4 linked regions of the Oryctolagus cuniculus genome follow. The protein of the gene in region 1 interacts with the protein of each later gene in a pairwise test. Links are inferred from orthologs where the notes say so. Each region holds a gene or a part of one and is shown in the gene's direction. Other genes may lie near its edges.

What was found. The genes of interacting proteins can lie anywhere in the genome.
Region 2: the proteins of MYOG (region 1) and POLR2C interact in a two-hybrid assay, tested with the Homo sapiens proteins (2 studies listed by BioGRID and IntAct). The link is inferred for Oryctolagus cuniculus from reciprocal best matches to the Homo sapiens genes MYOG and POLR2C.
Region 3: the proteins of MYOG (region 1) and EIF4E2 interact in binary tests that used the Homo sapiens proteins (3 or more experiments, as listed by UniProt). The two-hybrid records come from large-scale screens. The link is inferred for Oryctolagus cuniculus from reciprocal best matches to the Homo sapiens genes MYOG and EIF4E2.
Region 4: the proteins of MYOG (region 1) and FTL interact in binary tests that used the Homo sapiens proteins (3 or more experiments, as listed by UniProt). The two-hybrid records come from large-scale screens. The link is inferred for Oryctolagus cuniculus from reciprocal best matches to the Homo sapiens genes MYOG and FTL.

The regions. Positions count from the first base shown.
Region 1 is NC_091444.1:18,827,549-18,833,983, reverse strand, and holds MYOG (myogenin), read left to right. Parts: upstream 1-2,457; 5' UTR 2,458-2,613; coding exon 2,614-3,159; intron 3,160-3,761; coding exon of another isoform or gene 3,762-3,764; coding exon 3,765-3,846; intron 3,847-3,920; exon of another isoform or gene 3,921-4,090; intron 4,091-4,341; coding exon 4,342-4,463; 3' UTR 4,464-5,213; downstream 5,214-6,435. UniProt on the Homo sapiens protein: Acts as a transcriptional activator that promotes transcription of muscle-specific target genes and plays a role in muscle differentiation, cell cycle exit and muscle atrophy.
Region 2 is NC_091449.1:41,014,690-41,020,121, forward strand, and holds the start of POLR2C (DNA-directed RNA polymerase II subunit RPB3), read left to right. Parts: upstream 1-1,402; 5' UTR 1,403-1,492; coding exon 1,493-1,578; intron 1,579-1,741; coding exon 1,742-1,791; intron 1,792-3,429; coding exon 3,430-3,498; intron 3,499-3,636; coding exon 3,637-3,689; intron 3,690-4,163; coding exon 4,164-4,292; intron 4,293-4,641; coding exon 4,642-4,693; intron 4,694-4,869; coding exon 4,870-5,038; intron 5,039-5,135; coding exon 5,136-5,210; intron 5,211-5,432. UniProt on the Homo sapiens protein: Core component of RNA polymerase II (Pol II), a DNA-dependent RNA polymerase which synthesizes mRNA precursors and many functional non-coding RNAs using the four ribonucleoside triphosphates as substrates.
Region 3 is NC_091434.1:6,907,521-6,912,309, reverse strand, and holds part of EIF4E2 (eukaryotic translation initiation factor 4E type 2), read left to right. Parts: intron 1-3,048; coding exon 3,049-3,163; intron 3,164-4,789. UniProt on the Homo sapiens protein: Recognizes and binds the 7-methylguanosine-containing mRNA cap during an early step in the initiation. Acts as a repressor of translation initiation.
Region 4 is NC_091449.1:8,286,675-8,291,270, reverse strand, and holds FTL (ferritin light chain), read left to right. Parts: upstream 1-1,559; 5' UTR 1,560-1,660; coding exon 1,661-1,762; intron 1,763-1,898; coding exon 1,899-2,045; intron 2,046-2,364; coding exon 2,365-2,490; intron 2,491-2,585; coding exon 2,586-2,738; 3' UTR 2,739-2,866; downstream 2,867-4,596.

The DNA.
Region 1 (6,435 bases):
GTGTGGTCCTGTGGGACACGCAGGGCCCGTGACATGCTCCCTGGCCACCTCGCTCAGGCCAACATGGGCACATCTGCACACAAGGACTCGCAGAGACCCGGACACATGAGGTCACCCTGACCCCCAGCCGTGCCCCCTCAGACATGGGTGGGGATACAGCCTGGGGCGGACAGAGGTTGTGGGTGTCCCCTGCTCTCGCCCGGTTTGCTCCCAGCCAGGACCCAGAAGGTTCTTGCTCAGGAAGTCTGTGTCTGCGGAGAGGAAGCAGCGAGTGGACCGATCCCGGCTTTTACCGCGGACACTGTCTCCCTCGGGAAGACGGCTTCACACACGCACCTGCCTTCTCCAACTGTGCGCCCGCTGAAGGCGGAGGGATCACGCCTCACCCTCGCCAGGGGCCCCGCGGCTGGCACATGGCGCCCAATGCTTGTTTCTTCATTGAAGGAAGGGAGGGAGGGAGGAACTCTGGGTTCTCCCTCTTCCTCCCCTGCTTTTGTGGGCCTGGAAGCCATGAGGACAGCCTGGGGGAGGACAAGGGGGCTAAGGGTGGGACCCAGGAGTGAGAAAACAAAGCAAGAGGGACTCAGACTCATTGGGAGCTTCTGTGCCAGGTGCCCGTCATTTACAAAGCAACCATGCACCATCACCCTGCACACGTGCACACACTCACATGTGCAAATGCACACACACTGGGCAGGCTCTTCCTTTCTCCTGGTTTCGTGGGGAGTATACGGGAAATCAGGCTCCTTTTTTTTTTTTTTTTTTTTTTTTTGACAGGCAGAGTGGACAGTGAGAGGTGAGAGAGTCTTCCTTTGCCGTTGGTTCACCCTCCAATGGCCGCCGCGGCCAAAGGCAGGAGCCAGGTACTTATCCTGGTCTCCCATGGGGTGCAGGGCCCAAGCACTTGGGCCATCCTCCACTGCACTCCCTGGCCACAGCAGAGAGCTGGCCTGGAAGAGGGGCAACCGGGACAGAATCTGGCGCCCCGACCGGGACTAGAACCCGGTGTGCCGGTGCCGCAAGGCGGAGGATTAGCTTAGTGAGCCGCGGCGCCAGCCCAGGCTCCTTCTTGAAGCCACAGCAGGGACTGGAGCCCACGGCAGCCGCGTGCCACTTCCTATCACACTGGCAAGACCTCACCGCCCCTGAACACGTGCGGCTGGGTCACCGTCTCACCTCGCCTCGCCAGCCTCTTCCTGGCTCCTCTGAGGACGGCAGGAAGAAAGAGCCAGGCCTCCAACTCCATACAGATCCCACCTCCCCAACCCCCAGTGCCCACTGCTTTCTCTTCTGTCCTGGGCGTGGGTTTAAACTTGAAGTGGGTGTCTCATCTGTCACAAGACAGGGGTAGCGGGATGGATCAGCCTCACTCACGGGGGCCTGGGGAGAAACCCGGGATCAGAGTCAAAGACAGGAGGCAGGCTACCACTCAGAGCCACGCGGGGTGCCACGGCTGTTCTGTGATGTCAGCAGAAGTCGGACAAGGGCCACCTGGAAAGGGGATTTGGGCACTGGGGTTGGGTCAAGTGAGGTGTACCGGCTGGTAAGGTGGGAGGGGGTAAGGTGGGGGGTCCCTCCAACCCCAACCCTAGGGCTGAGGCTTGTTCACTGTAGGTGCCCCAGGTCTGCCCACTGCACCAGGAGAAACCGACCCTCCAGAGCCAGAGGCATCCGTGGGCTGAGACACCAGAGCCTCAGAGCCTCCCCTGCACCTGCCATCTGAGACCTGAGATTGATGGCTCAGACAGGAGGGGGCCGCAGAACCCGGCCCGCCGGCCAGGGGAAGTGGGTGTGCAGTGGGGTTTGCGGGGCTCTGCTCGCTCCTCTTTTGCTCCCCCACCCACAGTGGGGGCCCAGCAGGGTTCTGGTGTCTGAAAGAGGGCAGAAAACAGTTGAACACGCAGAGACGGGTCCAGAGGTCGAGGGTGAGGAGAGGGAGGCCACACCACTGCGGGAAGCTGGCGACGTGGGGGCTGTGAGTTCTAATCCCTGCTTGGACCCTGACCCCTGCCCCAAACCCAGGAAGTCTCCCTTGCCTCGGCCCACCCCCAGCCACGTGTACCCGAGGATTTCAAAGCCACTTTGGAAGCCCAGAAGTTGAGCCTTCTGCCCCTCTGCGTGGGTCCTTCCTATCCCTGGACAGGAGTCCCCACCACGCCCAACCTCTGGGGTCGTCTCTCCAGGGGCTCCTTCTACCCACACGGGGGCCCAGGGGCTGTCAGCACACGGGGAGGTGGGTGAGCTACTCTTCCCCACCCCCTCCTCCCCTGGCACCCAAGGGCTTCTCCGCGACCAGCAAGGAGGCGCAGGCGGGCCGCCCAGCCAGGAATAATTGAAAGGAGCAGATGAGAGGGGGATGTGCCTGCCCCACAGGGGCTGCCGAGAAATGAAAACTAATCAAATTACACCCGACGGCCTCCCGACCCGTGCACAGGAGCCGGCAGGCCAGGGGCAGGCGGCCCGGGCGGGGTGGGGGCCATGGGGGAGAGGGAAGGGGACGCACATCTAAGCCCCTGAATACGTCTTGATGCGCAGCAACAGCTTAGAGGGGCTCAGGTTTCCGCGGCGTTGGCTATATTTATCTCTGGTTCCATGCCAGCGGGGAGGGTTTAAATGGCACCCAGCAGTTGGCGTGAGGGGCTGCAGGAGCTTGGGGGCTGGTGGCAGGAACCGGTCTCTTCCGACCCCATGGAGCTCTATGAGACGTCTCCCTACTTCTACCAGGAGCCCCGCTTCTACGACGGGGAGAACTACCTGCCCGTCCACCTCCAGGGCTTCGAGCCGCCGGGCTACGAGCGGACTGAGCTCAGCCTGAGCCCGGAGGCCCGGGGGCCCCTGGAAGACAAGGGGCTGGGGACCCCCGAGCACTGCCCGGGCCAATGCCTGCCGTGGGCGTGCAAGGTGTGTAAGAGGAAGTCAGTGTCTGTGGACCGGAGGCGGGCAGCCACGCTCAGGGAGAAGCGCAGGCTCAAGAAAGTGAACGAGGCCTTCGAGGCCCTGAAGAGGAGCACCCTGCTCAACCCCAACCAGCGGCTGCCCAAGGTGGAGATCCTGCGCAGCGCCATCCAGTACATCGAGCGCCTGCAGGCGCTGCTCAGCTCGCTCAACCAGGAGGAGCGAGACCTGCGCTACCGGGGCGGTGCCGGGCCCCAGCCAGGGGTAAGCCGGCAGCCAGGGGACCCCCACAGGGGGAGGGGGAGGGGCAGGTGCCAGGTGGCGTCTCCGGGGCCCTCATCAGAGCTGGGCTGTCCAGCCGACCTCCTGTGCCCCCAGGAGTTGGGCGAGAGATGCGGGTGGGGTGGGGGCAGCGTGGCGAGGGTCCCTGGAGCAAGCGCACAGTCAGCTCGGGGATCAGCAAGGTCCGATCCGAAGGCTGGCACCAGATCCTAAAGGGCCAAGCCAAGCACAGCAGAGAGGATGGGCAGGGCCCGCACCCCACCCCATCCCGAGGGGCAGCAGGCCTGTGGCAGGGGCGACCCTGGTGGGGCCGGACACTCTGCCTCAGTCACCAGACCAGAGCGTCCTGCCAGCTGGTGTCCTGGGAGGGCCACATCACCTCCCCGGATGGCAGCAGCCAGGCCCCTGTGGGTGGGAGGGGCACTGGCTGTTAGGAATATCTGGCAGGGGTGGCCTGCGCCGGAGGTGGGCCAACCTGGGGTCCACCCTCTGTCCCCACCACAGACGCTTCCGCCCACTGTGACTAGCACAGACACACATCCGCGGGTGGCTGTGCCCTGACCTTGGGCCCTCGCCCTGTCTAGCAGGTGCCCAGCGAATGCAGCTCCCACAGCGCCTCCTGCAGCCCGGAGTGGGGCAACGCGCTGGAGTTCGGTCCCAACCCAGGAGGTAAGTGAGGCCTGACCTGGCAGCAATCCTGGCTCGGTCCCCGAGTCCCTTCCTGGGCCAGGTTCTCCCCTTACCTGATTCCTTGTTCCTGTTGCCTTCCTGCGGCTTCTCCGGGGATCCAGATGGTGGGCTGGGAGGGCCTGGGGTCCCTGCAGCTTCACCGAGCCAAAGAGTGGCCTCCTGCAGCTCCCCAGCTGGGGCCTGGCGCTGACCTCAGCAGAGAACGCCCCGGCCCCAGGGGTCCCTGGGAAGTGCTGAGTCAGTGCTGCAACACTGGCCCAGCAAAGGGCAGCTCCAGGCCCCAAGGAGACACCACGCTGGCTCCTCTAAGGAGTAGCTGCTTCCGGATCCTGGACCCTCCACCACCCAACACACACACACACACACACACACACATGGCTTTGGGAGAGACGAGGGCCAGGACGTGGGGCTCAGCTGCCTTCTGCCCTGGAGACCCCCTCCTTGCCCAGGTAACACCGCCCAACCCCCTTGCAGACCATATGCTTGCAGCCGACCCTACAGACGCCCACAACCTGCACTCCCTCACCTCCATCGTGGACAGCATCGCCGTGGAGGACGTATCTGTGGCCTTCCCCGATGAAACCATGCCCAACTGAGACGCTCTGCCGGGCCGGGTGTCGGCGCCAGCCCCCCAGCTGGACGCAGACGCCAGCGCTTCTGCAGCAGGGGCCTCCTGAGCCAGGCTGTCCTGATGCCAGGGAGCCAGTCCTGGGCTTGCCGCCGGCAGGCCACCCCTCCGCATCCCCGTAAGGCTCACGCGCCGCCCAGCAAGGGAAGGGAGGTCCTCCTCTAGCTGAGTCCTTGGGGCCCAGGATGTCCCCTTTCCAGGGAGACAAAGCAGGGGACCAGAGCGCCCCCTTGTGTATGCCCCCAGCTCAGGGGCAAACTCAGGAGCCTCCTTTTATCAACACACAGCCTCTAATTCCACCCCACCCCACCCACCCCGACCAGCCACGCTGCCTCCTGTTCCGGTCTCTTCCTGCCGCCAGTGGCTGGGCTGGGCCCGCCCTGAGCTGCGGGAGCAGCGGGGAGGTTCAACCCTCTGCCCCCAGGTCCCCGGGGCCGAGCTCTGGCGGTGAAGACGGGAACGCCCCAGTGGTTTTATGTTTTCTGTTGTGTTGCGTGTGTTGTTGTAAAGCTGCCATCCGACCAAGGCCTCCTGGGCTGACATGAAGCTGCCGGGCACAGGCGGGGTCGGGCACGCGGCTCTTGGGTGATTTTGTTTGTGAACTAAGCAGTGTGTGGTTTTGCTGTTGTTTTGTATTTTTCTTTTTTTCTTTCTCTTTTTGCTAACTTATTTTGGATTTCCTTTTTTAAAAAATGAAATAAAGACTGGTTGCTAGAAAGGCGTCCATGATGATGTCGTGGGAAGCGGGCAGGGAGGAGAGGAGGGCCCCGCCCCTTCCCACCCCACCCTGCAGATGCTGGAGGGGCTTCCACAGATGGCCGTGGGTGGGGGCCCAGAGGCACCGCCTCACTGTCTTGCTGGCCGCCACTGGACACCGGGGACTCCTGCCCTTTTGCCATGTTGTACCTAAGCGAGTGTAAACCAAGGAGCACCACACATTGATAAAATTTGATGGTCCTTTATTGGCGGCGGCGGAGAGTGGGCTCATGCCCAGAAGAACTCTCGACCCTGAAGCCCAAAGCAACAGGGTTTATAAAGGCAAAAACCACAAAATCAGGAGGGGAATACATGGTTGCTAGGATCGGGGGGAATACATGGTTACCAGGGTCAAGCTGACCTAAAACCTATGAGAAACTAGTATCAAGTATAATATTGACAATACCAGTTACAATCTTAACAATTTTAATTATAATCGACATTAATCCAGGTATTGGTTTTAATCACATGTAGGACATAGACACATTACATTTTTTTCATTAACCCAAGTGCAGCCTATCCACTCCCAAGCTTGAGTGATCACGCTAGGGGGTCTCTATGCTCTGCCATGAGTGATGTAGTGGACTGCTATTGTCCAACTGTTCTAGATCACAGTTTCAGACCAGAGTCTCATGGGGTGGGGGGCACCTTCCCAGAATGGAGTCTCAGGTTCTCCAAAATGGAGTCCGTACTGTCAAGGTGCTACTTCAGCCATGACAACCGCCGGGGGGCGCTGGTGCCTAGGCTGGGTGAAGACAATTCCAGAGGGAACCTGCAGAGCTCTCAACTGCACCCTAATTCACAGGTGTGCTCACCTGCCCACCTCCTTGCAGCTGCCCTGGCTGCGTGCTCCGTGCCCTGTGCTGCCTACCGCCAGGGGGTGCACAGCTGGGGAGGGTGGGGCTCCTCTCCCCCGGGGACACAGCCCCAGTGCAAGGAAAGAGGAGGCGTTTAAATCAGCCACTGTCTTTTCCTTGCAGGCCAGAGAATGTGTTCATGTGCTCAGCAGTCCTGCTGCTCCCTGCAGGCAGAAGGGGTTCTGGTCCCCACCCAGGGTGCAGAGCGCGATGGAGACTGTACTGGCGGAGAGGGAGGGGGTGAGCAGAACCAACAAAGGAAGGGACGCTGAGGTCCTCAGCCTGGGGCTGCTCCCTGCTGGCTGGCTGAGGTACGGGTGTGTGGGA
Region 2 (5,432 bases), on another chromosome or scaffold:
GTGCATCCTGCCTTGCGGCTTGTGATGGGAGAAATGAGACTCCCCGGGCGCTCAGCCAGCACGTCCCTGCATGGTCTCACGGGCTCCCTTGTGTCATAACCTTCCTTGAAACGGTTTTGGGGGCTGCTAAGGCTGAGTCAAGGCTGGTATCCACCGGATGGTGGCAGCTCACTGCCAGCACGCTGCAGGCATCCTGAGATGTTCCCGGGGACCCCTCAGAGAGCTGCCTCCCCAGAGACAGGTGCCTGCTGGACACTGAGAGGCGTGGCCCAGGCCTGGTGTCGCATCACTCCAGCACGCACTGCGGGATTGTTAGTGTATTCAGAACCTGTAAAAATTATAATAAATGTTTGAGGCTGCTTCCTTTTATGTAGTTTGTTTCCATATAGACTGTGATAGATGTCCCCAGCGGGAGTTCTGGCCCTGGCTCTGCCTAATACATGCTGGGGGGTTGGACAACTCTGCCTCTGAACCAGGTCTTCCCATCAGTAAAATGGGGGCAGTGGGGCCTTCCCCAGACACCTTGCTCCCTTGGCCCCTCTTGTCTGTCACCATTTTAGTGATAGGTTCGTCAGTGTCAGTAATCTCAGCCTGTGCACCACCTGGGCTCCCTTGCACATCTGCTTTGCTCTGGCCCACGTCTGCCAAATACTGATAGAGGAGTCAGAAGTGGACGCATTTCAGATCCCTGTGGGCCTTCCCCGGGCCCCGCGCCTCTCTGGTTACTCCCTGATACCTGTGAGGCTCCTGCAGCAGCTACCCACGTTTCATCGCATTCATCACATCCATGTTACACTCAGGAGATGACCGTAATTCTTAACCTACTGAGATGACAGGCAGGCAAGAACCGCCTCCTGCCCTTCCTGTGTCTCAGGAAGAGGTGCGCCTGCTGCTAAGGTGAACCCCTTCCTGGGTACTCTACTGCAGCCACATTCCATTTTAGGGTCTCTAGAGCCTTTTACGGAAGTGTCCACAAGTGCGCGACCCGGACTTGAGGGTGGAAGGGAAGGACATACACCATCATTGAGAGATGCTTTGCTGAAAGTTGCCACGCATTGTTTCCCATGGGTGTTCAAATTCACATCATCCTCAAAGGCCTCATGGTATGCCTATATGTATCTATTTAACCAGGTCTCTATGCATAGACCAGTCTTGTTTACCTTTTGCTATTACAGTACTGTCTTGAATGTCCCTGTAGCTTTGTTTACAACTGCAAACATCTTGGCAGAATGAATTTTTAGACGTATTATTGTTGATTCAAGGGCATATGCAGGTCTTGCCAAGTTACCTTGCAAGTTGGGTGAGACTGGTGGTGGGGTGGGGAGTAGAAAATGCGGGCCATGGTGCAGCCGCAGCCTCCCAGCGGCAGGGGGCGCTGCTCGCGCGTCTCGGCGGAAGCTGCGGGGGCCGCGCTGTCCGGCTTCCGGTGACAGAGCCGCGCAGGCGCGACGGGGGCGACGCGAGGGGCCGGCTAGGAGGCCTCAGGGGCGCGATGCCGTACGCTAATCAGCCCACGGTGCGCATCACCGAGCTCACTGACGAGAACGTCAAGTTCATCATCGAGAATACGGACCTGGCGTAAGGCTGCTGAGGGGAGAGGCTGGCGGCCCTGCCGAGCCGGCCCGAAGGGTGGGGGTGCCCTCCCACGGCGGCCACCGTGCCAGGGCTTTAGCTTTGGGAGCCCGGGGCCGGCCTGTCGGGGCTGCGGCGCCCTCACGCCTCTCGCTTTCTCGTCCTTCAGGGTGGCCAATTCTATCCGGAGGGTCTTCATCGCGGAGGTGCCTATAATAGGTAAGCGAGCCCCGCCGCACCCTACCGGGACCACTGGTTCCCCGGCTTCCCAAGGCCCCACGCACCTGTGCCGCCTCCAGGCCTGGCTTGGGGGTGGAGGTGCCGAGGCTGGGTCGCACCCGGTGCCTCTGGCCCGGCTGCCCCGTTGGCCACTTCGGCCCCCCTGCCGTGTGCCTCGCGGAGCAGCACGGGTTCGGCAGGGGCTGCCCTGGGCTCCGATGCGGTTTCCACGCGCGCGCTCGGTGGAACTTAGGCAAGTCGTGACCCTTCTGTGTGCTGCTGGTTCTCATCGGAGACATTGGACGCTGGTGTTACTCACCAGGCCGACGGCGGGGACCAGTGAGTGAGCGATTCTGATGGATGTGCACGGGGCTCGAGGACCTCGCAGCAGCGGCCCGCAGGGGTGGGAGGGCCTCTGGCCTCTGTGCCCCAGTGTTTTCTGCGTTGACTGTGCTTGTGTAAAATACCAGGGGTGTTTTGTGTCAGCTCAGTGAGTTTGCGTTTGGCAAAAGAGATGTTGTGGCTGCTGCATCAAGTGTTCAGACTCTGAAGGAAGCGGCACACACCAGCTGCTTGCTAAAGCCGCCGCCTCCGCCCCCCGTCGCCTCAGCCCCGCTGGGCCTCGGTGGGCCCCGCTTTTCACATTCTCAGCTCTGCAAATGCGCACCCATGCTGGGCAAACAAAGGCAGCTCAGACCCGGCCTCAAGGAATTCTCCAAGCCTGCGGTGGGGATGAGACACAAATCCGACACTGAGCAAAGCATGACCGCTGTGCTAAGGGGAGTCAGAGCTGGCCTTGTCCGAGCGGGGTTCAGAGGCCGGGGGTGCTCACGGCTCAGTCTGAAGCGCAGGCGGGACTCGGGTTTTAGGCTCGGGGGATTTGGAGCTGCACGAGGAAGGAAAGTGCGGGCCAGGAAGCAGCCGGGGTCCGGGGGTACGTGAAGAGGCAGAGGGGCCTGGGTTGGGGCCTGAGACGACTGGTCCCCTTCTGACCTCTGCTCCCAGCGGCCATGCCCCCCCTGGCAGCTGGGCAGCAGCCCTGTTTGATTTCGGCGTTTGTATGAATGAGTGAGTAAAGTGGGGTTGAAGTCACGTGGGTGTGAGACAGTCCTCACCGTGCTGCCAGCTCGTTGCTGGCAAGGACCGGTTTCTCTGTAAGCTGCCTGGTTCCTGACAGGACGCAGTAACCTGTGTCGGCTGAGTGATGAGGAAATGCTCGTTGGGTGGGCCAGCGTTACATCCTAAGACGCGGTTCCTGCTGTCGGCCTGTTCGTTGTTCGTGAGTTTCCCTCATCGCAGTGGCTGAATCGTTTGTGTTCCTGGCTGTTTGGCACTGGCACAGGTGGCAGATACATTGGCTTCTCACAGAAATCGGCAGCAGGTGTGCCTGCTGCGGTGAGGCGCTCTGAGCCGGCGTTCCCGTGTGGTCCAGGAAGCCCCTGCCTGAACTCCCCCCCGGGCGGGCAGGGGCCGCGGTGCCTGCGTGGTGCCTGAGCCCTGCCCGGTGCTGCTGCAGTCAGTCCCCGGCCGCCCGGCCTGGCCCGGCCCGGGCATTCCTGAATCTTGGCACTCACTGCCCTGAGCTTTGGGGAATTTGGTTGCTGAATGAAGTCTCACCTCCGCCCCTTCTCGTTTTAGCCATTGACTGGGTTCAGATCGATGCCAACTCCTCCGTCCTGCATGACGAGTTCATCGCGCACCGGCTCGGTGAGTGCTGCTCTGGGGGAGGTGAAGGGACGGTGCGGCCGATGCCGCAGGAGGCCTCCCCACCGCGGGGCGCCTGTGGGCTCTCGTTTTGGGCATGGCTGTCTGGCTGCCTTGAAAGCGCGGGTCTGTGTCTTACAGGCTTGATTCCTCTCACGAGCGACGACATCGTGGACAAGTTGCAGAACTCCCGGGTATGCTGCGAGAGTGGCTGTGTGTGGCTCGGGTAGGGGCTTAAGGGCCCACAGGACTTGTCCTTGGCATCTGGCTGCCAGCATGGACTGCGCCGTGGTTGTAGGGAGACGGCGGAGATGTTGTCCAGAGCCCGAGGCAGGTGTCTTTGGGCTTGGTGCTGATGAGGATCCCATTGGTTATGTCCGTCTGGAAGTCTCAGGAGCCAGTCCCACAGAGGGGCAGCCACCAGGGGGCCTGCCTGTGCAGCACAGGGGCTGTTGCTTCCACAGCACCACCACCACCCCTGCCCCGGGGTCGGGGGGCAGAGGCACAGAGGTTGGTGTAGGTGCGGGCAAGGAGCAGAGGGGCTGGGCGCTGTCTCACAAGAGCAGCACCCCCTGCACGCAGGCAGCGGCTCAGGGAGCGGGCCGAGCAGGCAGCTGTGGGGCTTCCCGGCTCTCCGTGGGCTCCTTCCAGCTTCCCTCTCCGCTCAGGACTGCACCTGTGAGGAGTTCTGCCCCGAGTGCTCGGTGGAGTTCACCCTGGACGTGCGGTGTAACGAAGACCAGACTCGCCACGTCACGTCCCGAGACCTCATCTCCAACAGCCCCCGCGTCATCCCGGTCAGTGTCTGGAGCGCCCCCTCCCCCGGGGCTCTGCCGTGGCCGGCTTTGGCGGCCGGAGGGCTCGGGTCCCGGTCTGATGCCTACCAGCCTGGTGCTGGTTTCTGCTCGGGCAGCAGCAGCACTGGGGCTGGCAGCTGCTGGGGTGAGAGAAGCGGCCGCTGATGATGCAGTTTAGGTTTTCTTTGTGTCCGTCACCCAAGGGCCCTCCGAGAGGCCGGGGTCTTGACCACACCATGGAGCAGGCCCCTCCGCCGGCCCCTCTCGCATCCCGCGCTTGCGCAGAGTGCAGTCTGGAGGTGCTGTGGGAGGAGCAGCTGACAATTGCCTGGGTTTGGGCTCCCTACAGGTGACGTCCCGGAATCGAGACAATGACCCCAACGACTACGTGGAGCAGGACGGTAAGGGCTGGAGAGCGTGCGTGCGTCACCTTTGATAGAGCCTCTCCTGCCGCCCGAACTCGTGTAAAGTGGCCGAGGGCCCGTGTTTGCGTCGCGTGTCACCCTCAGCGGCACTGTCGGTCCACGCGGGGAGAGCCACGCTCCTGGCCGGGACTGACTCGCACCTCTCCTCGCAGACATCCTCATCGTCAAGCTGAGAAAGGGCCAGGAGCTGAGACTCCGAGCCTACGCCAAAAAGGGCTTTGGCAAGGAACACGCCAAGTGGAACCCCACCGCGGGGGTTGCTTTCGAGTACGATCCAGACAATGCCCTGAGGCACACGGTGTACCCCAAGCCCGAGGAATGGTATGCTCCAGGGGGAAGGCGGGTGTGCAGAGGGCTGCTGGTGCCGGAGGTGGGGCAGGCGGTCTGGGAACAGCAGCCTCTGCTTCTCTGACCTCAGGCCAAAGAGCGAGTACTCCGAGCTGGATGAGGATGAGTCTCAGGCTCCCTATGACCCCAACGGCAAGCCCGAGAGGTGAGACCTGGTCGCACGGGGGGCGGGGTCTTAGTGCATGGCATCTGCCGCAGGCTCAGTCATCAGCCGAGGGGCCGCTGCTGCTCACCACTGAACTAAAGTAGTGCTGTGTGCACATGCCCTCTGGTTACGAGAAAGGGGCTCTCCACTCACCCAGATGGTTCCCATTCTGATTTCCAGCCCCTAGTGTGCAGACTGTTCAGGTCCAAGCCAATTTACACA
Region 3 (4,789 bases), on another chromosome or scaffold:
TTATTTGAAAGGCGGAGTTAGAGAAAAAGAGGGAGAGACAGAAATCTTCCATCCTCTTGTTCACTCCCCAGTGGCTGCGATGGCCGGAGCTGGGCTAATCCAAAGCCAGGAGCCAGGAGCTTCTTCCAGGTCTCCCACGTGGGTGCAGGGGCCCAAGCACTTGGACCCTCCTCCGCGGCTCTCCCGGGAGCATTAGCAGGAACCAGCACAGATGTGGAATGCTGGCGCGGCAGGCGGCAGCTTCACCTGCTGGCCCACTGACAGTATTTTGTATTACTCTCCCTGTTTCCTGATAGCGAGTAGTAGCAGAACCATGAACGAGAGGAGCTGGTACGCTTTTCCTGGGGCTAGAAAAAAGGGGAGGTGCTGAGCCCCTGTTCAACTGCGGGCTGAAGGAGGAAGCCCGGCAGCTGACGAGAGAAGACCGTGGTGGCGTCCCTGGGGTGTGCCCTAGAGAAGAGCCTTGGGAGCCGTCTTGGGCCTGAGCAGTAGAAAGACGCACGAGATGTTCTTGGCACAGAACTGACCGCGAGAAGAGGAAGGGGGAAGTGGGCGGCACCCAGGGCTCTCAGACTCCAGCCTGAAGCAGACAGCGCTCTCAGTTCTTCCCTGAGACGCCCACCTGCTCTGTCAGGTGTGTGCTTTAAACTTGGCCTGCTTACAAACTGGCCGTGACCGCCGTGACCATATAGCCAGGACAAGTGCAGACGTTGCTGTGGGACGTCCAGAAGAGGCGAGCCTGACTTAGCCTAACCTGGGAGGCCTTCAGAAGTGTTCAAAAGAGATGGCCTCGGGCTGCGTGCTGAAGGCCAAGGTAACTAGAGGGAGAAGGGCTTCTTGGAGAGACCGCGTGATGGACGTGGAGGGGTGAGTTTGGGGAACTGCGATTGCGTTGATGCAGCTGGACTACAAGGAGCTACTGGGACCAGGCAGGAGGTGAAGTTGAGAGGACGGGACAGAGCAGGGCTGCACCAGGCTGAGGCACACCTGGGTCTGCTCACCTGGGTCCCTGGGGACGTGACTTGGGTAGCTGATAGACAGTAGATGCTTGGTACGTAGTGGTCGTTTTTACTCTGTGTAGCTCTCTGTGGGCGGACTCTCTTTTGAAGAGGAAACCGAACCAACTCCTAAGTTTACTAAAGGGAGAGGGTGTATGTGAGTGCAGATAATGGTCTCCCAGCAGTGCAGTGAGGCTGACCTGGGCCGGAGCGACGGTAGCAATAGCCGCACAGTCAAACTCCCCTCACCCTTCCTTGGTGCGTCCTGCTGGCTTTCTCTGCTTTTGCTCCTTGTCTGAGTCCCTCATGGCTCTGCCTGAATGGGGTCCATCTGGCTGCTGCAGCTCCTGAATCTGTCATCTCTCCTTGCAGATGAAATGCTGAGCGAGGGATCTACTCATGTTCTTTCTAGCAAGGCCCTGACATAGGTTATTGGCCAGGCTGGAATGCCCTTTAGTCTGGTAACCTTCCTGGCCGCGTCTCGGCCGAGGTGGAAATGGGGCGTGGACACCTGCGTGTGTCCACAGCAAAGACTAAAATGGGCAGAGCGGGTGCCCAAACACATGTCTGTCTCATCCATTCTAATATTTTCCTAAATTTTCATTCATTTAGAGCAGCATGGGGGCAGGCAGGAGGATCGTCTGTCTGCTGGTTCACTCCCCCAAATGCCAGAAGCAGCCAGACCTGGCATAGGCTGAACCAGAAGCCTAGAACTCCCATCAGGTCTCCCATGTGGGGGGCAGGGACCCAAGTACTTGCGGCGTCACCTGCTGCCTTGCTAGGTGCACGTTAGCGGGAATGTGGCTCGGAACGGCGGGGGGGCGGGGCTTGGACCCAGGTGCTCTGATGATGTGGAATGGGTGCTTCATGGGTGCTAGGTGCTTGAGATTCATGGGCAAAAACCGAGCCGCAAATAGAAAATATTCCACAGCATGTTTCTGTATCTGTGTAGCATGTACCTAAGTTATAATTGGGCATTTCTGGTCTCTTTCTTGAGAATTGCCTAATCCCATTTGTCTGTGTATATAATCATGCGTCCAAAAGAGGATTTGGAATAGGACCCATGATGAGTTAGAGGCCCAGCTCGGCAATAAACGACATTCTCCCTGCTCTGTGGCCGCACCTTCCTTTTATTTTCTCTGGATCTGGTGCACTTTAGGTGTACCTGAAAGTCTTGGTTTCACCACTCCTGAGAGGTGGCCCTTACAACAGGTCAGACTCCGTGCTGTGAAGCGAGAACACTCGAATTTGTTGTTTCAGGCATTTATTTTTCCCTTTACTCTGACGCTCACTCGGCATCTTCTTGGCTGTGTGTTAGGGCCGCATCTTCTGGCCCTTACGTGTTGGTCATCCTGAGATGAAGTGAGACACTGCTGCGCGGAACCCTCCATCTAGTGGAGCGAGCGCACTGGCCTCCAGGCTGAGGGGGCGTGTGCGGACGCACCGTGTGGGCGTGCAGGCTGCAGGGCTGGGAGTGTCAGCCAGCCGCACTTGCGTTTCTTTACCTCTGTCCTGAAGGGCAGGCATCAGGGGTGAGAGGCAGCTGAAACAGAGGTAAGGACAGAGGTTAGCCAGATGTGCACTCAGAAGGACCATGCTGGTGATGGTGACGACACAGAGGGTAGAGGGAGCGAAGACTGGGGTGAGGGCATTCACAGAGAAGAGGCCTGAACCTGCGCATGGCAGTGCGGAGGGATGGGGAAAAGGGGCAGTCTGTGGGTAAGTTTCCAGCTTCCATCTGAAATGCCAAAGCAGTGGTCTAGTCAGAAATTCTGCTCATTCCTGGTGCAGAAAGCAACCCCTAGAACTGTTTCCGTTACTCCCTTTAAGCGCTCTTTGTGGCTTGTTAGAACGCAGAGCGCGCTTCCTGGGGGTCACAGCTCATTCTTGTTCCACCTTCCTGGTTTGCCTGCGCACTCCCTTGTCCCTCTCACCTCGCAGGGCTCTCGGGGCTGTACCCTGAGTGAGTTCAGCGTGGCTGCGGTAGCTGGCTTGGTAGGGAAGCAAGAGTCAGCCTAGTTGTGAACGGCGGTGTTTGCTTTCCCTTCAGCCTGAAAGACGATGACAGCGGGGACCACGATCAAAATGAAGAAAACAGCACACAGAAAGATGGTGAGAAGGAAAAAGCCGAGCGCGAGAAGAGCCAGGGCGGCAGCAAGAGGAAGGTGGGTGACGCCGCCAGACGCGGCTTCCTGCGTGCTGCAGGCTGCGTCTGGGAGGGGCAGGTGAACTTAACAGCACCCTGTGTTGGGATACCTGCTTTTGTTCTCATGAAAGGATTGTAGAGGCCTGGGGGCTCATTTTGGGGTTAGGATTTCTTGGTTGACATAGGATCTTAGGTGTCGCCTTCTCCTGGCCTGGGAGTTAACAAGGCCGGTGGCTGCTTCATGGTCCTGCACAGCCCGTGAAAGTTTGACCCCTGCAGTCAGTGATGGTCTATGTTGACATTTCACTTGCAAAAGAGAAAATGCAGAGAATGACAGATGGATCCGTTTTTTTTCCTTGAAATAAAAAATAGTCACTAATTCATTTATTCTGCATTATTGAGTTCCCTCCGAGGGGTAGCATTTTATGCTAGGTGCTGAGAAGACACAAACGTGAATTAGACTGTGGGTCAAGGAACTTTCATTTCTTTTTAATAAGATGTGTTTATTTGAAAGGCAAAGTCGCAGAGAGATGGGGGTAGAAGGGGTGCGTGTCGCTCCCCCTCTTCGTGGAGGAACGACACTAAGCCCTGCCTAGGCTTCATATCCGAGTCACGGCACCATTATGTTGCTCCCCCTCTTCATGGAGGAACGACACAGGACCCTGCGCTGTTCTTTCGTCTGCTCGGCCCTCCCCGGGTTTGCTGCTGGTTCTTCCCAGGTTGGCTGCTGGTCCTTCCCGGGTTGGCTGCTGGTTCTTCCCGGGTTGGCTACTGACCCTTCCACCTCCGTGGAAGGGCGGTTCCCCCTGCCACATTCCCCACTTCCGCGGGGGAGCGGTACACCGCTGGCCGGCTCTCTCGGGGGCTGCACAGGTGTCCCCCTTAGATGTTCCTGGTGCATGTTGTCTCTCTCCTCCTTTATAGTCCTCTTCCACCAATCCCAACTCTGCTACCCACACGCCGAGTACACTGCTCTCCTCCAATCAGGAGCAGGTCCTGCAGCTTGTCAAGTTGGTGAGAGGCAGCTGTGTAGAAGCTGGTTCCTCCTCTCCCAGCGCCATATTGTGGGAGAGCAGATGCATAGAATAAGTCTTAATTCGAGTAACTTAGTCTAGTCCGAGTTGCTCCCAGTTGCTCCCCACAGGTGGGAGAAGAGAGGTCTTCCGTCCACTGGTTCACTCCCCAAATAGTGACAGCAGCCGGGCCTGAGCTAGGCTGGAGCCAGGAGCCAGGAGCCAGGAGCTTCCTCCAGGTCTCCCATGTGGGTACAGGGGCCTAAACACTTGGGCCACCCTCCACCACGTTTTCAGGCCAACAGTGCAGTAGCTGGATCAACAGTGGAGTAGCCAGGACTCACACCGCTACCCGTGTGAGATGCTGGAGCTGCAGGCAGCAGCTTTACCCCCCGTGCCACAGTGCTGCACCGCTTGTTTTTAAAAAAAGATTTATTTTTATTATTTATTTTAAAGACAGAGTTACAGAAAGAGGGAGAGTCAGAGAAAGAGAGATCTTCCATCTGCTGGTTCCCTCCCCAAATGGCCGCAATGCGGGAGCTTCTTCCAGGTCTCCCACGTGGGCTCAGGGACCCAAACACTTGGGCCATCCTCTACTACTTTCCCAAGCACATTAGCAGGGAGCTGGATTG
Region 4 (4,596 bases), on another chromosome or scaffold:
CGGTTTCAGACAGGGTGCCGCCCTGGGGGAGCGCGCGGCCTTGGGTCTGGTCCCAAGGGTCTTAAGCAGTCAGCAGCTCCAAGGCCGACGCTGGCCACTGCCCCTTCCCCTCCCCCCGCGGAGTCAGCATGACTCAGCACATCCCGGCCTGGTCACCCGCCTAGGCCGAGGGCCCCAGATACTGCTTGGGCCCAGCACCTGGGGGTCGCCTTGGCCAGGAGCTGTAGCGCCCAGGTCCTGACCCTGCACCCCGCGCCTGGGGCCTCGGCTCCCCAGGCCTGCCTCCAGGGGCCACTTAAGTGGGGTCCAGGTCCTGCCTTGGCTCCTCCTCCCCCGAGGTCAGGGCGCTGGTTTGAGCCCCTGACTCCCAGACCCACATGCATCTGGTGCGTTTAAAAAAAATGCACGTTCCGGGGAGACAGGCACCCCGCCCCTGTGTCCCCGACCTCTGTCCCTCGGCCGCCCAAGGCGTCTCCTGGACACGCAGAAGCAGCAGGTGGCAGGCCAGACACGGGGCCTCTGTAGAGAGACTGCTCCGGGGCCACGGGAGACCCCAAGTCTCTGGGTTACCGCCATAACAGCCCCCCCAGGAAACGCAACCCCAGGGAGACCCCAGCACCCGGGGGGTTTCACTCTCCCCATCTCACTTCCCAGGAACGCTGGGCGCCGACGGACTCCAAGGCATCCGAGGAGCCCAGGCTTCTGTGCGCCTTAAGGGGCCGGGCCCCTCTTACAATCGTCCCTTCCCCCCGCGCCCCAATAGACTTCCAGGACCCCTCCCCGCCACTTCGACCCCAGGCTCCACACGCCCCAGCATCAATGACCACCTGGAGCGCCTAAAGGCCTCCCGGGGAGGACTTAAATGTGGATGCCCATGGTGTCCCCACCTCCTCCTAACCCCCAGGCCTCAGGGCAGGAGCCCCCTCCTCCCAGAGATCCGCAGGGCTCGCTTACAGCCACCTCCACAGCCCTCCACAGCCCTCCTGCTCGGGGAGACCCCTCAGCTCACAGCACAAACCCCTGGCAGCCTGCAGGTCCTCTCCGCGCTCTGAGGCACGACCCCCCCCCCCCGGGTTCCAGAAAGTTCCATGCTCTCAGAAACGGCCACAGACCCCTGCTTTCCTGAGGTAGCCCCAGGACCACAGGGTCATCACTCCCCAGGGGCTCCCCGGGCACCCACCAACCTCTCACCTCCCGGAGAGACCCTCAGAAGCCCTCGACTTCCCCGAACCAGCCACAGAACCCCCACCCCCATTCTCCATTTCACAACAGGCTCGCGCAACAGGCGCGTGACTTCCCCACCTCAGGGTGGGGACGGAGACCCCCTTTCTGCGCCTGATTGGTCAGAAGCCGCCCGGAGGCCCTGCCTCCCCCAAACGCCAATTGGCCGAGCCCTCGCCCTCCGAGCCCCGCCCCCGAGGGCCAGCAGAGTATAAAAGCCGCCGCCCAAGCAGCCGCCCGAAGCTACGCGTCGGGAGACCCGCGGACCTGTGTCTTGCTTCAACAGTGTTTGAACGGAACAGGCCCGGGGACTCTCTCACAGGCTTCGACCGCCCTCCGACCTCCTCTCCAGTCAGAAGCTCCGGGACCACCTCTCGGCCACCTCCTGCTCCTGGGACCAGCCCACCGCGGTTCTGTGGTCATCTCACCGCCGCCAACCATGACCTCCCAGATCCGTCAGAATTACTCCCCCGAGGTGGAGGCTGCCGTCAACCACCTGGTCAATCTGCATCTGCGGGCCTCCTACACCTACCTCTCTCTGGTGAGGGTCCGCGGGACGCCCCCGACCCGAGTTGCACACAACTGCGCGTGCGCGGGCCCGCTTTGTCCCGCGGCGGCGCCGGGGGCGGAGCCCGCACGCCTCCCGCCAACGGTTTTCCTTTCGCGTCTTCCCGCAGGGCTTCTATTTCGACCGCGACGATGTGGCTCTGGAGGGCGTGAGCCACTTCTTCCGCGAGTTGGCGGAGGAGAAGCGCGAGGCCGCCGAGCGGCTCCTGAAGATGCAAAACCAGCGCGGAGGCCGCGCCCTCTTCCAGGACGTGCAGGTACCTGGTGTGCGGCCCGCGGACTACATCTCCCGGCGGGCTGCGCGCGCCGAGACCGGAGCCCGAGCGCCGGCTGGGTGTCGCGCGGCCTTCTGGGAGATTGAGTTCAGTCGTGAGCGAGTCGTTAAGGTTGGAAAAGGAGGTGAACCCTGAGGGCCCCGCGGTCCGGGCCGCTGCGTGGTCTCCTGAGGCGACTCTTGTAGGAGGGTGGGGGTAGTAAGTACAAGCCCGCCCACCTCTTTTGAGCGTCCCCGGCCCCCGACGGCTGCTGGGAAAGTGGAGTTTGGGCCCAGTGCTGAGCCCCTCGTCCTTTGTGCAGAAGCCGTCCCAGGATGAGTGGGGCAAGACCCTCAACGCCATGGAAGCCGCCTTGGCCCTGGAGAAGAACCTGAACCAGGCGCTCCTGGACCTTCATGCCTTGGGATCCGCCCACACGGACCCTCACGTAAGTGCCCCCGCCACCGCGCCTTTGATTGGGCTGATTTCCCTTGTGAGCCTTCCTCCTCCGTGCGCCGTCTGATCTCCCCTTCTCTCCGTCAGCTCTGTGACTTCCTGGAGAACCACTTCCTGGACGAGGAGGTGAAGCTCCTGAAGAAGATGGGCGACCACCTGACCAACATCCGCCGCCTGAGCGGCCCCCAGGCCTCGCTGGGCGAGTATCTCTTCGAGAGGCTCACGCTCAAGCACGACTAGGGGCGCCCGGAGCCAGCGGCGCCGCGCGTCTGCCCGCGCTCTCCTGCCAGCCGCCAGGCAGCTTGTTCACAGCCCTGAACCCTCTCCCAAACCTGGGACCAAACGGAAATAAAGTTTCTTGCTGCAGCATGGGGTTGTGGTGTGCATTACGGTGGAGGCGGCGGAACGGACCTTCAGGGCTCCACGGAGTGGGCTGGCAGGGGAGAGGTCCGCCAGGCCGGCTGGCCGTTAACTGCCCTGCCCAGCGGGTCGGGCCAGGTTCAGGGAGGGCTGGCAGCAAGGCCCTGTTCGGCCTCAGCAGCCTGGGCGGTGATGGGGTCAGGCAGCGGGCCAAGCTCTGAAAGGCAGGTAAACAATGAGTGACCCTTCACCACGGGCAGCCCAGAGCGGCCGGCCAAGGCTGCTGCTCCTTGCGCCCGCGCCGGGGTAACTCCGGTGCAGGGCACGTACCGAGAAGACAGGTCAGGAGGAGCAGGGGCGCGTGATGCTGTTGGGGTTCAGCACAGGAACCAGACGTGCGACCCGGGCCCAGAGTCTCCAAAGGGGAACTGAAGCAGCTTACGCGGGTTTCTAGAAGCGTCTGCTGGGTCAGCTCTGACCCCTGTTCCCTTTGCGGGAGCAGAGGAAGTGAACCGGGAGCTGGAGGCCTGCTCAGCGCCACGCCCCTCCCGGCAGGGCTCCCAGGGAGAAGGGGGCTTCTGTGTGTCTCACACATGCGCACACGCACGCGGGCCAAGGGGAAGGATGACGACACATCCCAACACAGCCAGCTCTCTGAGTCCCCGAGTAGCAGCTGCCTCTGAGCTGCACACCCGGCCTAGTGAAGATGAGAAATCAAAGGGAGAAACAGAGCCACGCAGGGGACAGCCAACCCGGGAGACGGCGCCCCCACCTGCGGCAGGACAGCCGGGCTGGGTCGTGGTAGGGGGAACGGCTGCCCGCCAGCGCTCGCTCCCAGTCACAGCCGCTCCTGCCAAAGTTTGCAAATCAAGCACCGGTTAGGCAGAAGGGCCTTCGGTGAAGTCCCCGGGGAGGCAGGGTGAGATGAGGGAGCAGGACAAGGCCTAAGGCCGTGCGGGTGGAGGCCCCAGCCTGAATCGGACCACACCTGGGATTCTTAAATAGATGTATTTTCTCATCTCTGGATGCACGCCAATCCCACTCCTGCCCCCTGCAAACCAAGTAGAGCAGCAGACACGGCACAGCACACGTGAGGGCCCTCCCTTGCTCCGAAGCTTGGGGGCGGGAGGGCCTCGAGGTAAACGTGAATGTTCTAGAACCCAGTGGGCTCAGTTCTGATCAGGAGAAAGGGGCCTGGACGCGCACAGTGGTGAGGCTCCAGGTTCAACAGCCAGCCCCGGAGCCCAGTGGTTTCAAGGCGGCTGAGACGGGAGGCGGTGGGGACGGAGGCGGGGAGACCGTCAGCTCTGGCCCCAGCACGGCGATTCCCTGGAAGGCACCAGGAGTCTGTCTCCAGCTAGGAAGGAGGCTGGGGTCTAGTCTGGGAAAGGCCAGGCCGGCACAGAAGTGTCCACACAGGCTGTATGGCTCGCCAAAAGGAATGAGGAGCCAAGGGGTTCGGCCACCCCTGGCTTGGCCAGAGTTGGGACCACAGGAGTGTATCTGGGGGGGTGCTCCAGCAGAACTGAGCACCCCAGGAAGAACGCGAGAGGAGCCGTCCCGGAGCCTGTGTTCAGACGGACGGCCGTCCGCACTCAGCTGTCTCGGGTCCCTGAAGGTGACTTGTCCCGTCAGCAGGGACGCCGTGTGGCTCCCAGCGCTGGCAGTGCCACCCTGTCTGCTGCAGGACGGACGAGCCGGGAGCACCCGGGGGACCTCAGCCCGGAAGGCAATGGCC